Styela clava: one gene and its partner. The protein of the gene in region 2 purifies or fractionates together with the protein of the main gene of each other region. This does not show direct contact. Links are inferred from orthologs where the notes say so. Each region holds a gene or a part of one and is shown on either strand. Other genes may lie near its edges.

The links. The genes of interacting proteins can lie anywhere in the genome.
Region 1: the proteins of coatomer subunit epsilon-like (region 2) and coatomer subunit beta-like purify together in Homo sapiens (affinity purification with mass spectrometry; 6 studies listed by BioGRID and IntAct, with this or other methods). This does not show direct contact. The link is inferred for Styela clava from reciprocal best matches to the Homo sapiens genes COPE and COPB1.

What each region holds. Positions count from the first base shown.
Region 1 is NC_135255.1:10,256,936-10,264,443, forward strand, and holds the start of coatomer subunit beta-like, read left to right. Parts: upstream 1-4,482; coding exon 4,483-4,657; intron 4,658-5,522; coding exon 5,523-5,674; intron 5,675-6,295; coding exon 6,296-6,465; intron 6,466-6,858; coding exon 6,859-7,012; intron 7,013-7,508. Other genes in the region: TM2 domain-containing protein 1-like, read left to right, coding at 2,872-3,420. UniProt on the Homo sapiens protein: The coatomer is a cytosolic protein complex that binds to dilysine motifs and reversibly associates with Golgi non-clathrin-coated vesicles, which further mediate biosynthetic protein transport from the ER, via the Golgi up to the trans Golgi network.
Region 2 is NC_135255.1:12,390,513-12,397,182, forward strand, and holds coatomer subunit epsilon-like, read left to right. Parts: upstream 1-4,407; 5' UTR 4,408-4,478; coding exon 4,479-5,375; 3' UTR 5,376-6,147; downstream 6,148-6,670. Other genes in the region: uncharacterized protein LOC120330988, read left to right, coding at 61-237, 367-492, 858-889; uncharacterized protein LOC120331661, read left to right, coding at 6,224-6,389. UniProt on the Homo sapiens protein: The coatomer is a cytosolic protein complex that binds to dilysine motifs and reversibly associates with Golgi non-clathrin-coated vesicles, which further mediate biosynthetic protein transport from the ER, via the Golgi up to the trans Golgi network.

The sequences.
Region 1 (7,508 bases), about 2.1 Mb from region 2:
CTCTAAAACGTTTCGCTGTGTTCAATCATTAGAATCGATATATATATAGCATTTTAATATTTCTGAAAAACTTTGGTTACAATGACTTGATGGTTAAAGTTACCATCACAGGGTAAAAGTCTCAGGTTCAAATAACATGACCATACCCTTACCTAGGATGTGATAAATTGGGTAGTCAACGTGTACCCTGGAAAGATCCCGGTCCCTTCAAACGATAGTAGCTTCTAGCAGTGACATTTATTCATAGCCTTGTTTTGATTGAAAGAAAGCCCCGTTTTGGCATAAGGAATAACTAATCAAAACATGAATATAAAAATTGAAGCATATTCTCGCGTTCTTGTTTTTCATTTGTTAAAGACACTAGGTATTTTAGACAGTGTGGCTATAATAAGTAATAAGAATGCGTTTTGTACTCTCCACGATATTCTGCACCTTAATTGCCCTTAGCTGTGCTTACGCCTTTTTGTTGATAAATTTGCCAAAGTTCGAATTAGAGGAAGGAGTAAATGACGAAGACGGCACGATGTCTTTTTCAAGGCGGCCTCCATTTATACGCGGAGCATTTACTCGGATGAATGGAAGGTGGGTGAATGTGCACAATATTGTAACAATATCTACTTCTTCATTTCCGTAGATTTATTATAACCCTGAGTATATGTCGTATATATCACCTTTCGTTAAATAAAATCTGAAATGCTGTTGGATAAAGCTTCTAAAGTAGCAACAAAACATTTTGTAATATTCTTGTGTTATATCACTTCGAGTTTTTTTCCTGTTAATAATCAAAATTGAATTCTTTTTTTAGAAGATGTGTGGCCATGCGAGCCGATATCCATTTACTTATAAATATTACGTTTTTATTCAAAATAACTTCGAAACATAGATTAATAATCATTTAAAACGTGTAGGATAGATTCCTTGCAATCGACTAGGTAAAAAAAAAATCGTGTTGTTGACTAGGTCTTATTTTAGGTGGAGGGCTTATTTAAAAAAAAATTAAATTCAAGCTAGGTCTTATTTTCAGGGTAGGTCTTATTTTCGGGGAAACACGGTAGAAGTGAATAACCATTATTTCAATACAAATATATCCTGTGGTTGAAAGTGGAAACTAAAATAGGCTACTAAAATATTTCTCTAACTTTGTTTATAAAATGGTCTGTATTCAATAAAGATATTATTTTATTCGGACTTCTTTTTCTCATATTTTTAAGGCGAACTCACGTCGTACCGTCGGATGGCTGGAAACGCAAAAAGAGAGAAATACAACACCAGGAAGGCGAGTTTGCTATTTATTTTATTACACATTGCACCTGTCATATCAAATATAAAATCTTGTTGAATAGTTTTGTCGAAATACTTGAAGGATTTTATGTTTTGCTTTCGATTGTATGTTTGTCTGTTATATAGAGCACTTAATTGCAAACATTAAAATAACGTTTTTTATTACTATTTTGTTTTACATATGCAGCCATAGACGAAGACATAGCACTTTTTGAGTGAAAGAAGAAGAAAGAAGAAATCTATTTTAAAATACTTTTTGTACAATAATAAATCTTTGCAATACGAAAAAAATCTCTTAAACGTTTCACATTTATGCGTTTTCTCTACGCAAGCGCTACTGACGAGGATGGTGTGGGAACCAAATCTAACTCAAGATGTAACAGATTTTAATCGCGACACCCCAAACAAGGATAATTACTTACAAGTCAAGTTTATTTTTTCCAACCAGAAAAAAAGTCAGTTTCACACAAAATATGAGGAAGATAGAAAATCACACATTTCATCTGGGGAAGGGAAGCCGAGAGGAACCAATGCTGGTTATCGAGCAGCGAGATCTAAATACAAAAAATACGCTTCGTTGGTTCGAAACACGTGCATTCAAGCTTGCTTAAAAGTCGGTTATATGAAACTGATACTATTGTGTTTGTTGTTTAACCGCGAGCGAGCCTAACTTCAAAAAATCGTCTGATTTTTGTGCAGATAGTGTGATATCCTATTTTTAATCTTGGTTTATTTTAGTTAACATTTCACAACTTACCAAGTTTATAAAAAACCAGAAATATAAAATTTCATTTTATTATTATTATTACTTGTCCCCACAAATTGTTTCTACGAAGATTCCCCACACAACAGAGGTTAAACTTGAGACACAGTGACGTAATGGGTAAAAAAAAATACTGAAAGAAGAGTCATATAAAAAAAATAAAAAAATTTATTTAGACCAAAAATCAGCAAAGCAGTCAAAAAATGTTTGATAAAAACAAAAATCACAAATTCTTGAAATTTCGGAATCATATTAAAATTAATTCCTGAGTATGGATTAGAAAATATGTCTAAATCACTGAAATTGGGGATCGGATTTCCCGGTATCCCATCCCCATTGCTTACTTAGGAATCGAATTCATATTACCGACACCAAAACAAATTGTATTTTTTCGGCCGTAGTTGTTATAAGAATATGAGCATCCATATTTCCACAAATCGGAGGTTTCAATACGAAAGTCAACTGTTGACATTTGGAAAACAAAATTATTCGAAAATATTGCAAAAATTGGTGTTTTTATGCTGGTAATTCAATAATTATTTGCACGCAGTATTCAAAAAGTATTCTAATAAAAATTTACAGGAGTTCAAAACCAATAATCTCCGTTTTTAACTTTTTTTTAAAACAGTCTCAAAATTTTTTTTTATCAAATCCTTCTAAATATAAATTTACGGTTATCCACTTCTTTGTCTCTTTCACTCGATGTCATAATTGAGTGTTTGTTTAATATATCCGACGCAGTCAAGCAAAAAATTCTCCCGAGACACGTCGCCGATAACAGCATTTTTTTGGTCGTAGCTGGTGTTTTCCGCCGCTAGTATTGTAATATGTGCCTGAAAGACGCAAAAATAGCAGCCTATTTGACGTTGCTGACGGTATTTTACTGTACATCGTATGCCCAAGATGCATGTTCTGATCTTTTACCAGGACAATACCGCTGTGCTGAACCTCAAATAGATGAGCATACTCAGGCTGTTGCCAACTGCACACCAGCTGGCAAGTCGAAGATTGACTGCTATCCTGTCAATGGTATAACATGTGATGGGAAATCGTTTAATGGAAGCCAAATTGGTTTCGAAAAACTAATAAACTGTACATATACTAATGGATATTCTTATACAACAGCACTTGGACTTTCAATTTTTCTTGGTTGGTTAGGGATAGATAGATTTTATTTAGGTTATCCAGCACTGGGATTATTGAAGTTTTGCACCTGTGGCATTTTTGGCTTAGGTGCATTTTTTGATTTTTTATTAATTGCATTGCAAGTTGTTCTTCCTGCCGATGGTTCAAATTATGTCATTGATCTCTATGGACCCCGATTGCGGGAAATTTCTATAAATGCTGAAACTTATTTTAAACCACAACTTGAATGATAATTTTAGACTGTTTTTGTATACTATATCCAGATATATGTATACTCTTATTTAACACTGTGCTATTTCTATTGATCTTATTAGAAGCAATAATCCAGTATGACCCAATTTGTCAAAATTATTAAGTGTAACTAGTCAGAATATATCATTCTGAAGTTATTCTCCTGTATTTGACTGCATACTAATATGTTTTCTGTGGTTCCGCTGAGCTAATAATATACCAATTTAAACTGGCCCTGATTTGGTTTTCTCAATTTTCAGTGCTCAAAATGTCATTCACTTGACTGAGTTGAACTGTATTATTTTTTTATTTGAGCCTGAAAAAAAATTCTTCAGATATTTAGTTTTTCAGTAATCTTTTGTCATTTTTCACTCATTTTGCAACTTTTTTTTGTATTGCTGTGTGGATATATGAAAAATCCGTTGTTATCTGTTTCATTTTTCAAACCAACAATAGTCTTTATATGTAATAGTAGTTTTGTTTTTTTTTAAGGGACATTCATAGTATGTTTCTATTTGAATGGAAAACTGCCTGTCATAATATGTTATTTAGAATGCAAATTTTTCTGATAGGATTATACCATTGCCATTCCATGCATTCTATTTCATATCTCAGATGATGAATATGGATGAATTTTGGAAAAATTATTGTTTTTATTTAATTTTTTCTGTGTTGTGCAGTATACTATTTTACCCGACTCAAAAGCAAAGCCTCAAGCGACCATTGAGAACTTTAGGAGTGTTAGTAAATTATCTATGAACCTAATTTGGTAAAGATATGTTAGTCTTGCCATATTAACTTAACAAAACTGCTCTTGGTGAATGAGAGAGCAACAATTGCGCAATTTTTATTGTGAAGCTGTAAATGTCTCACTTTACAAGCTACGATCTGCTATATAACATAACTTTCTTTTCAATGCAAGCTTTAAAATAGTATACCCCCTATTACTCCTGTTTTTTAATTTTTTTTATCATGTTTCTAAAATGCAATGTATTATTTTGTTCAAATATTTTTTGTTTTATTTGATAGATATTTAGATGTGCTAGTGCTTGACTTACAGAATGACATCAGCAGAAAGCATTTGTCACACTCTAATCAATGTACCGTCTGTTACTGATTCGGAGCCATCTAATGAATCACAATTAAAAGCAGATATCGAACATGGCGATATTCGTACTAAAACAGACGCTTTGAAACGCGTCATATTAATGACATTGAATGGAGAAAAACTTCATGGTATGATTTTTTTTGGTATTCAAATAAAATAGTTTATGATTATAATATGTCACATTCTTTTTCAACATATTTTGGGTTATTCATGAGTAATATAATAGTGCATACCAAAATATAAAAATTTAATAATATTGAACAAATATTTCAAAATAATTGGATCCATAGTATTAATCTTCAGTGCTGAGCAGAAACTGAAGTCATACAATTTTTTAAATTGTGAATAGATTTTATCGATACCATATAATATATATATTATAGTTCGTTTGCCTCTACGGGTTTATATGAGGTAAAAAATGGAAACCGATTAAAATAAAACAAGCCTGGTTAGGATAGATTGAGAATTGACTTCATTACGAAATTAAAATTGTAACAGGACTTTATGAATACCTTGTGTATATAGCATAGCGTAATATGTATCGTATGTCTTTCTTCGGAAGATAAAGAAATTGGTTGAAACCGTACATTTGAACCCACGGCAATTGCACCTGCTTACTATCATATCTAAGGATTTTTTATTGTTACACGGATATTTGAACCCATACTAACACTAACCCATGGGTTTTAGCCCTCACATATATATTGAACCAGCGGATATACACATGGGTTCAAATGTACGGTCACCAAAGAAATTCAAGTTATATAAGTAAGGAGATAAGCCACATCAAAATTTAAAATTTTTTGACTGTATTATAGAATAAATTATTTTGTGATAATTTGATCTGGGATATTCATTTACAGTCTGATTTGAATCCAACTGTATTTTTATACAGTATAATGAATATGTCTTTTGAATAGCTTGGAATGAAGTTACATTTTTGTGATTCGATTCAATGCAATTGATTTAAATTATTGCATTCTTTATTACAAGGATTATTGATGACAATCATCAAATACTTGTTGCCTTCTGAAGATCATACTATCAAGAAATTATTGTTGATATTTTGGGAAATATGGCCCAAGACGGACAACGATGGAAAATTGAGGCCTGAGATGATTCTAGTTTGTGATGCTTATAGAAAGGTGGGCTGCTTGATCATTCATGAATTCTATTAAAATTACGCTGAATAAGCATTTAATATGGAGGATTCCCAATATTTTACTAGATAATTGATACATTCGGTTATAAATTGGAAGCCAAATTAAAGCTTGATTGATCAAATTTCAAGTCAAGTTTATGGGTGTAAGTGTAACGGCCTAGTGGTGGCAGCGTTGGGCTTAAACATGTTGGTTATATTAATGAAATCTTGAGTTTTAATCCTATGCCCAGCAACTGACCTAATGTATAATATATTGGATAGATAAGGCCAACTGGACAGATTTCAGTCCTTCTAAAATATAGTGCAATGGCTGCTTGTTTGGAGTGGAAGATGTTTAAAATGTTGCATGGAAAAGTAATATGTAGTCAACTATCAATATCTTAGCATTGGTAATGTGTACTATGCCATTAATATCTTAGCATCGATAATGTCTACGAGACACGGCGACACTGTTTCATTGTTTTTTATCTGTTTGAATGATAAATCCCTATGTTGAAAATTGACTATTAAATTGTTTTAAAATTTATCTTTGTTTTGTTATGTATGACATTTTGATTAAATACAGTTCTGGATTACAGTTCTTGAAGGTTGTCTTTTATTGCAGGATTTGCAACATCCCAATGAGTTCATTCGAGGTTCTACACTTCGTTTCTTGTGTAAACTTCGTCAGGCAGAACTGCTTGAACCACTAATGCCTGCTATTCGTGCCTGTCTTGAACACAGACATAGCTATGTAAGAAGAAATGCAGTTCTTGCCATTTATACTATATTCAGGTAAGTATTCCAAAACACAACCACTATCTGAAATATGAACAACCCTTATAAGGAATGCAATTATTTCAGTCACACTAGGGCAGCATTTCTCAACCCAACAGGCAGAAAAAACAGAACGATTACTATTCTTTGTATGCAGTTTTGCTTATATTATTTGGTTATTCAGTTAATATTCGATATATATATATATATTGGATGCTTTGAAGTTCAAACAAACAACAGAAACAGTTTTCCGCATAGTGAGGGAGTAATAAGGGGATCTAAAAATAGACAAAGGCAGGAATATATTGAGAAAAATTGTAGACCACTGCAGTTAGGGATTTTGCTTTTCATGTGATTTTGACAACAGTCTCTCTTCTCCACATCTGTTTACAGACATTATTTATCTTCCAGGAAATTTGAAAATTTGATTCCTGATGCTCCAGAACTTATTCATGAGTTTCTGGAAGGAGAAAAAGATGCTTCGTGTAAACGAAACGCATTCATGATGTTGATTCATGCTGATCAAGAACGAGCTTTGGATTACTTGAGCACTTGTATTGACCAAGTAAGAGTTTTGTATTTAGTATGACACACATTGCCTGTTATTATTGTGTATATCTCAGTTTCAGTTTTTACTTATATATTTTAGTGCAATGTGTTTGTCGCATGCTTGTATCAGAGTTATCCAAAAGAATGGTTAGTGTACTTCCAAACATATTCATTTTCAATATTGTAATTTATTGAATTTAGAAATGATTTCTTTGAAAATGTGGGCATTTCAAGAATTTGCCTCTTAGGCAAGTTCATGATCCAAAACTTGTTTTATTCAACTTTTCCGAATAACAAAACTTGAAACTTTATTATTATGCAATGACCTCAGGCGTATTCTCTATAAAATATATCACATTTCATGATATAGAATGCTAATATTGCTTAGTGGTGTTGGAGTCTCCAATCTCTATTTAGAATAGTGAATTATTTGTTACCGGCTAATCGGCTATCCCTGGCATATATTTCATGATTTTGCAAACTGGTATTTCTGTTATGAACTTTATTGTGAA
Region 2 (6,670 bases):
GAGTACTTATTATTTGTGGAGTCTGGAATGACACTAATACTTTTACATTCAATATTATAGCAAAACCTTCCACACAAGGCTCTCCTATCCCAATGCCATCAAGCCAGGGTTATTCGGGCGTGGCACTAGGAGGAGATCAGGTGACGAGTGGAATGTCCTGTCATGAAAAATGCGAATCATACGGCTGCAAACCTACAAAACCGGGAGCTTGTCAAGCGTGCATTAAATCAGTCTGCGGTAAGTAATTCGATATGTGAAAAAAGTTGAAGTACAAAAAAATAAACTTAATTGGTCACACAATGTCGCTTGCAAGATAGCAGCAAGTTTACGACAACTTATAAATTCCTACTTTTTCTCTTTACGTAGACGACAACGTGTATGCCACAAGTTGCGACAAACTAGTACGAGACAACGGGATCTGCCCATCATGTAACGAAGAGAAGTCTGCAAGTGGATATGATTGCAAAAAATGCTACGATGATTGTGGAGCAGGTAGCAGTTTTTTTTATTATTCATATATATATATTTTAGAAATTCAAGTAAAGAAAAAATGATATTTTGTCGGATGTGTTAAGCTTATTGCTTCATGGCGCACTAGCCTTGAAATTTTGGGAATAATAAAATTGTCAGAATGTTTCAAATTTCGGTAATATCGGCATCGTCACCGTATATGTTTGAAACTTCAGTCGTAAAATTAAACTACAAAAAAAAATAGTTATTATTATTATTCATTATCAAATGCGATATATATATCGAGGAACAGAAAAAAACGGACTGGGTTGAAATGAACTTTTTTGATTTCTGGACGTTTGTGATAACTCAGATGTGCTTTAATCTAGTTTGTATTTTATTTTCAGTTGATCTCTCGCACGGTGGTAGCTACTCCTGAGGAAATGAAACCGGATTTTGCATATGTGACAAATATATACTCTTTGATCAAATTTGTTCAGACGTGTGAAAATTTCCAATTATTCCAACATTTGAATTAAACTATGTAATCTGCAAACTTTTTTTTTATCGTTGTTCTGGTTTTCACTGTGGGAGATAGGTTGTACTGTATATATATATGAAAGATTATTTGTCCTGGAATTTCGAATGCAAGTACTTAAATCTGCAAAAAAACAAAAGGTCGTCATAAGGTAGGCCTATGTCATATCATCTCGCCGAAAGTTACTCCTAAAATATCTCAATTAGATATTTAAAATTAAGACAGATAAAAATATTCACATCGCAAGTAAATAGACATATATATATTACAATTTCGAATCGGTTAAAGTCAACAAACTTTGGAGTAAGGCAGCAGTAGGCCCCTACCCATATTTAAGAATGCAGCAGCAAAGAAAATTTAACTGCGAACTATAATGAAATGACCAAATGTGTTTGGGAACGACAAATTTAATTATTTCGACTTGAGATAAATTTATGAAATAGTAAAACGTGCGTCGTTTAAATAAAAATATTCCTGTTGCATGTCTGATGGGGAAAATTGAGCCTCGCGCCATCTCAATTTCAGCTTGGCTTTTCCGAGCTCCCAGTGATGCACGATTTATCACCCATTTCCTATCGAAGTCTTTCCTGGGCATCCTGGCTGCCGTCTGTCTTCTCGAAGGACAATGCTTGCTCCCCCTGGAGCGTCTGACACAGTTCGCCGCAGAGCATTACCTTTTTCCACTAGAGCTTTGTATTCTCCCCCCTATCTCATTTCTCAAATTACGTTACTGGCCCTTCTTATTAGCATCGATGAACTTTTTCTGCCACTTCTTTAGCCTGCTAATACTATCTTACGACAAATAGCTACAAGTGTTGTTAAATCTTTCCCTTCTTTCCTGATCGGGATATGCTCGCCATTTTTTGAGTTCACCACCTACCTTCAGACCTTGCTTGAGTTGGGCATCACATTTACACATCAGCACAAGATAACACACATTCGCCCCGTACTTTCACTCAAGAGTGCTGCATATATGCCCAAAGTTTTATTTATTGTAGTCTTCTTGTCGGCTTCTTCCAACCAAATGCTGATTCTTGGATTGCCCCGTGCGCGAAATTATCGGCACCTAAGCGGTCCAAGACACCACATGTCCGACTCCGACGTAAGATCATTGAGGTGTATATAACCTCAATGCGTGAGATCGATAGTAACTTTACATTGGATAGGATTTACATATTTATCCCGGGGAGAGGAAAGCCGATAAGACGGCTCAATCATATGGCGAACCACGGCCTCTCGTCTGGTTACCCAGTCCAGGTCGGGTATGGGATTAGTTAGCCAGTTATTTGTTTTCGGAAGGCGTAACCTATCAGCGGTTACGTGAACCACCCTACGGCGGCGAGGAGTCCAGCAATCCTCTTGCACATGATCATCCCCGCATGAGATTCGAACCTGCGATCCCACGAAGGCTAATCAGATGCGGTGGCGAGCGTATTCCTAACGCTTAGCACGATGTGCCACACTGCCGAGCCACCGTAGACCGCCGCCTCAGAACATCTGGTTCTACGCGGAAAATGTTACTGCTTTCTTGAACTCTTTGTCAAAAATTCAATCTATTTTGTTAAAAATTCTTTAATTAAATAATTGAAAAATATACATTTTATTATAAAATTTAACAATTAGAGGTATGGTGATCATCAGAATACCGAAAACAATTCATCTAACATTTCTCCGTGTAGTTTCGAATTTTCTATAAGTGGTGACGACATTCTAGTCTCAAAGCAGTGCAGCGAACTTCAATCGTCATGGAATGTTTCGTGTCGTTCTTTATTTCTGTATTTTTGTAATATTGGGGTCGTACCCGGTTTCTCATTTTCCGCAATGGAAATAGTTCTGTCAACAATAGTAGAATAACGCAGTGTTTATTTCATAAATATAGATCTATCAGTGACTGCCGGGGTGATTTATTGAATTTTTAACAGACAGACACCGGTCTAACGTTACGGCTGTACGGTGACTCAAGTTTTAACATTGCCTTTGTACAGTCTGATAGTACCGGTACAGTAGTCAGGTAGTAGTAATAAAAAAATGAAACAATCTCTTTAACTATAGTTATCAGTTCGAATATTCGTATCAGGTATAGCGTTTTGAAATACTGGAATACAGAAGTAGGGTGGTGTAGCCAGTCCGCGGACGATTTCATTCAAACCGCTATAAAACAAAAACCAATATTTCTAACCGTTAATTTTTCACCGTAGGTGCATTGGCATGTATTCTACGCGCTAAACCTCGAATTAACTTTCTACGACCAGGGGTTAGAAATATTGGTTTTTGTTTTATAGCGGTTTGAATGAAATCGTCCGCAGACTGGCTACACCACCCTATTTGCGACCGAACGACCAGTGTGCGATCACAAATTTCAAGCTTTGAACATCGTTTCTGCTGCGTCGAGACTAGAGCATGCGCAGCCATGCGTGAAAAAATTGGGCTTCTAATTGCATTTCTGACCGTCATATATTTTAAGAACACGGTCATTTCGAACAAAACTCGTCAAATTATATACAAAGCACCACATCACAGCAATCAAACAGACAAACACACGGTGGTCGAAAATTGGTCGACAAAGATATTATCGACGTATTCGAAATGTGCACCTCCCTATTCCCCCTCCCAATCAAACAGACAAAAACACGGTGGTCGCAAATTGGTCGACAAAGATATTATTGACCTATTTGAAATGTGCACCCCCCTATTCCCCCTCCTTTAAATGTAGAAACGCAAATATTTAAAAGATGGTTAAATAAAACACAACTCTACCCCCTTGCCAAGTTTCATTTTTTATCTCTTATATTTGTATGGATTTTCAAGTTTCATTAATGGGACAATGGGTAGTTGGCGACATGAAAAAATGGTCTGTTTTTATCGTCGGTCAGGTTTTCGGTCGTAGCTTTTCTGTTTGTGGCCGTATTTTAGTGTAATATCGCAGAGACAAGTGGACAATAATGCGTGACGAATATCGTCGCGGTTCTTTAATTTTTTCGGCATCAATTAGATCGATGAAGTTGATGGCCGCAAATAGGTCGTGGCCGCGAAGTGGGTAAGCCACCCTAAACTTCTGAACTTGGTTCTGTGATTTTACATAATTCCGAAACCTGTCAACATTTAGTCTACATCTTTTTATTATTAAACCTGTGTAAACCCCATTCACTAGACCGTCTGGGCTTCCAAACTGAACAAACTCGCACTGCACAAAAATGAAAAGAAAGTGCAATCTGAAAACGTCACAATTGGATTTCTTGAAATTTTTTTTCTGTAGCATTCGAGAGTTTATAGCAAAAAACACATGTGGTGGCCGCGATTAGTTTAGATTATTATCGAGACAAGCATGGCACAATTCCACGCATCTGCTGTCGTGCCAGATGCCCTCATTTAAGAGACAAATACAGTTTTTTATTTTATTATGAAATTTCCATATCTTATCACTTCTTTCTGTACAGACATTAAATGGTTTAATTATTATAGCTACTTATTCTTAATAGAAAAACTTGAAATGTCTCAACAATCTGAAGTCGATGAACTTTTTGATGTCAAAAATGCGTTCTATCTTGGTTTGTATCAACAATGTATCAATGAGGCACAAAAGGCTAAAGTGAGTAGCCAAGTAAAAAAGAATGAGCGAGATGTATTTATGTATCGTGCATACATTGCTCAGAAAAAGTTTGGAGTCGTTTTAGATGAAATTTCGAGTCTGGGATCATCGGAACTTCAAGCTGTTAAACTTCTCGCTCAGTATTTAGCTGACTCATCAAACAAGGACCAAGTTTTGAAAGAAGTTGAAAATAAACTTTCTGGGAATATTGACATTGAAAACACCGTTTTACCACTAATTGCTGCAAGTATATATTCACACGAAGAAAACTTTGACTCCGCCTTGCGAATCCTTCACAGTGCTGAATCATTGGAGTGCTCTGCTCTTTCGATTCAAATTTACATTGCGATAAACAGGCTCGATCTTGCAAAAAAAGAACTCAAACGAATGCAAGAAACTGATGAAGATTCAACCTTGACTCAACTTGCACAGGCGTGGTTTAATATCTCTGTAGGAGGGGAAAAACTACAAGATGCTTATTATATTTTTCAAGAAATGGCAGACAAGAATCAAAGTAGCACGTTACTGCTCAATGGTCAAGCTGTGTGCTTCATAGCTCAAGGAAAATGGGACGAAGCGGAAGGTGTTTTACAGCAAGCAATGGATAAAGACAGCAACTGTGCTGAAACTCTAATAAATATGATAGTGCTTTCGCAACAGATTGGAAAACCACCTGAAGTTACCAATCGTTATCTGTCGCAACTGAAAGATTCTCATGGGAAGCACAAATTTGTCAAAGATTTCAATACAAAAGAAAATGACTTTGATCGTTTGGCAATGCAATATGCTCCTGCTTGATAGTTCAATCTGATAAGACATTGCAATAATACAAAAATAGAAAATTAGAAAATATATTTAAATATTTCAAATATCTTGATGTCAGGCAAAGTTTACACCTCATGATTTTCATGTTCCGAGCAGATTTACTAAGGAAAAAGTTCTGAAATAATTCCTTTTGGTGTGGGTTATTGAATGTATATGCCCATTTTTTAGATAATTTTTGAAATTTGATATTAAAGAAGTGCATATATTTACCATTTACTAATCTTGGGAATTAATCACTATTATACTATTTAAATTGAGATGTGTTGGCTCTATGTAGCACTGATGATGAAAAATAACGCTTTTAATTTGCATTATTTTTTGATTTTCAATCATTTTTTTTGGATAAAAAAGTTAGGTGTGTCATCCTAGTATTTTGTGCCTCGATCAGAGTATGCTCACTAAGCAAGCCAATGATGAATAGACCTGGTTAGTCTAGAAGCCCACCATCTTGTAATATGTTGGCTTTAGATGTGCTAAAATATTCTAGCCATTCTTTAATTTGGAGTTGAGACCTTACTATTTGTGTGTGAATGCTTTGCCAAAGCCTCATTGAGAGCAATGCTATAAAATATCACATAAAAAGTTTAAATTTTTTTAAATTAAAATATGAAATGACTGGACTTGATTTGGTAGTAGCCTAAGTAATGTATTTGCATTATTTCATGATATGGATGATGGGTGCTTATCATATCTGTATATTTGTTGCCTGGTATATATAATAACATGTATAATATTGTCTTTAGAATACATGGAATAAATCGAATACCATTTATACCGATTGATTTTTGTATTGGGTAATAGAAACTGAATTTAGCATCGATATGTCAGCGATCCACTATAAGTTCTCAAGCAGCAATGATTACAAGAATGTTACGTTTGATGGAATCAACATTTCACTCCAAGATTGTAAGAAAGCAATAATGTTAAAAGAAAAATTGAAGATGACGGAAGTTGATTTGCTAATTACGAATGCTCAGTCTCTACAAGGTAAGCTTGACTCTTTATACTTAAATTTTATTCACATTGTGCGAATTCTAATGATAAATTACCTAATGATAGAACTAAAATGGAAAATTATGCTGATAAAAGCTATTTGCAAACATGTCATCGAAATTTGGTATTTGAGTGTTTACTTCTAACCTGCATTGGTGAGTTATAAATATATAAGAGCTTCGACCAATTGTGGTGAGCTGATGGTTTCCAACTTGCTCATGTGCGTCATTCCGAAGTATTTGAGTGTTTAATTCTGATCTGACTTAGTGAGTGTG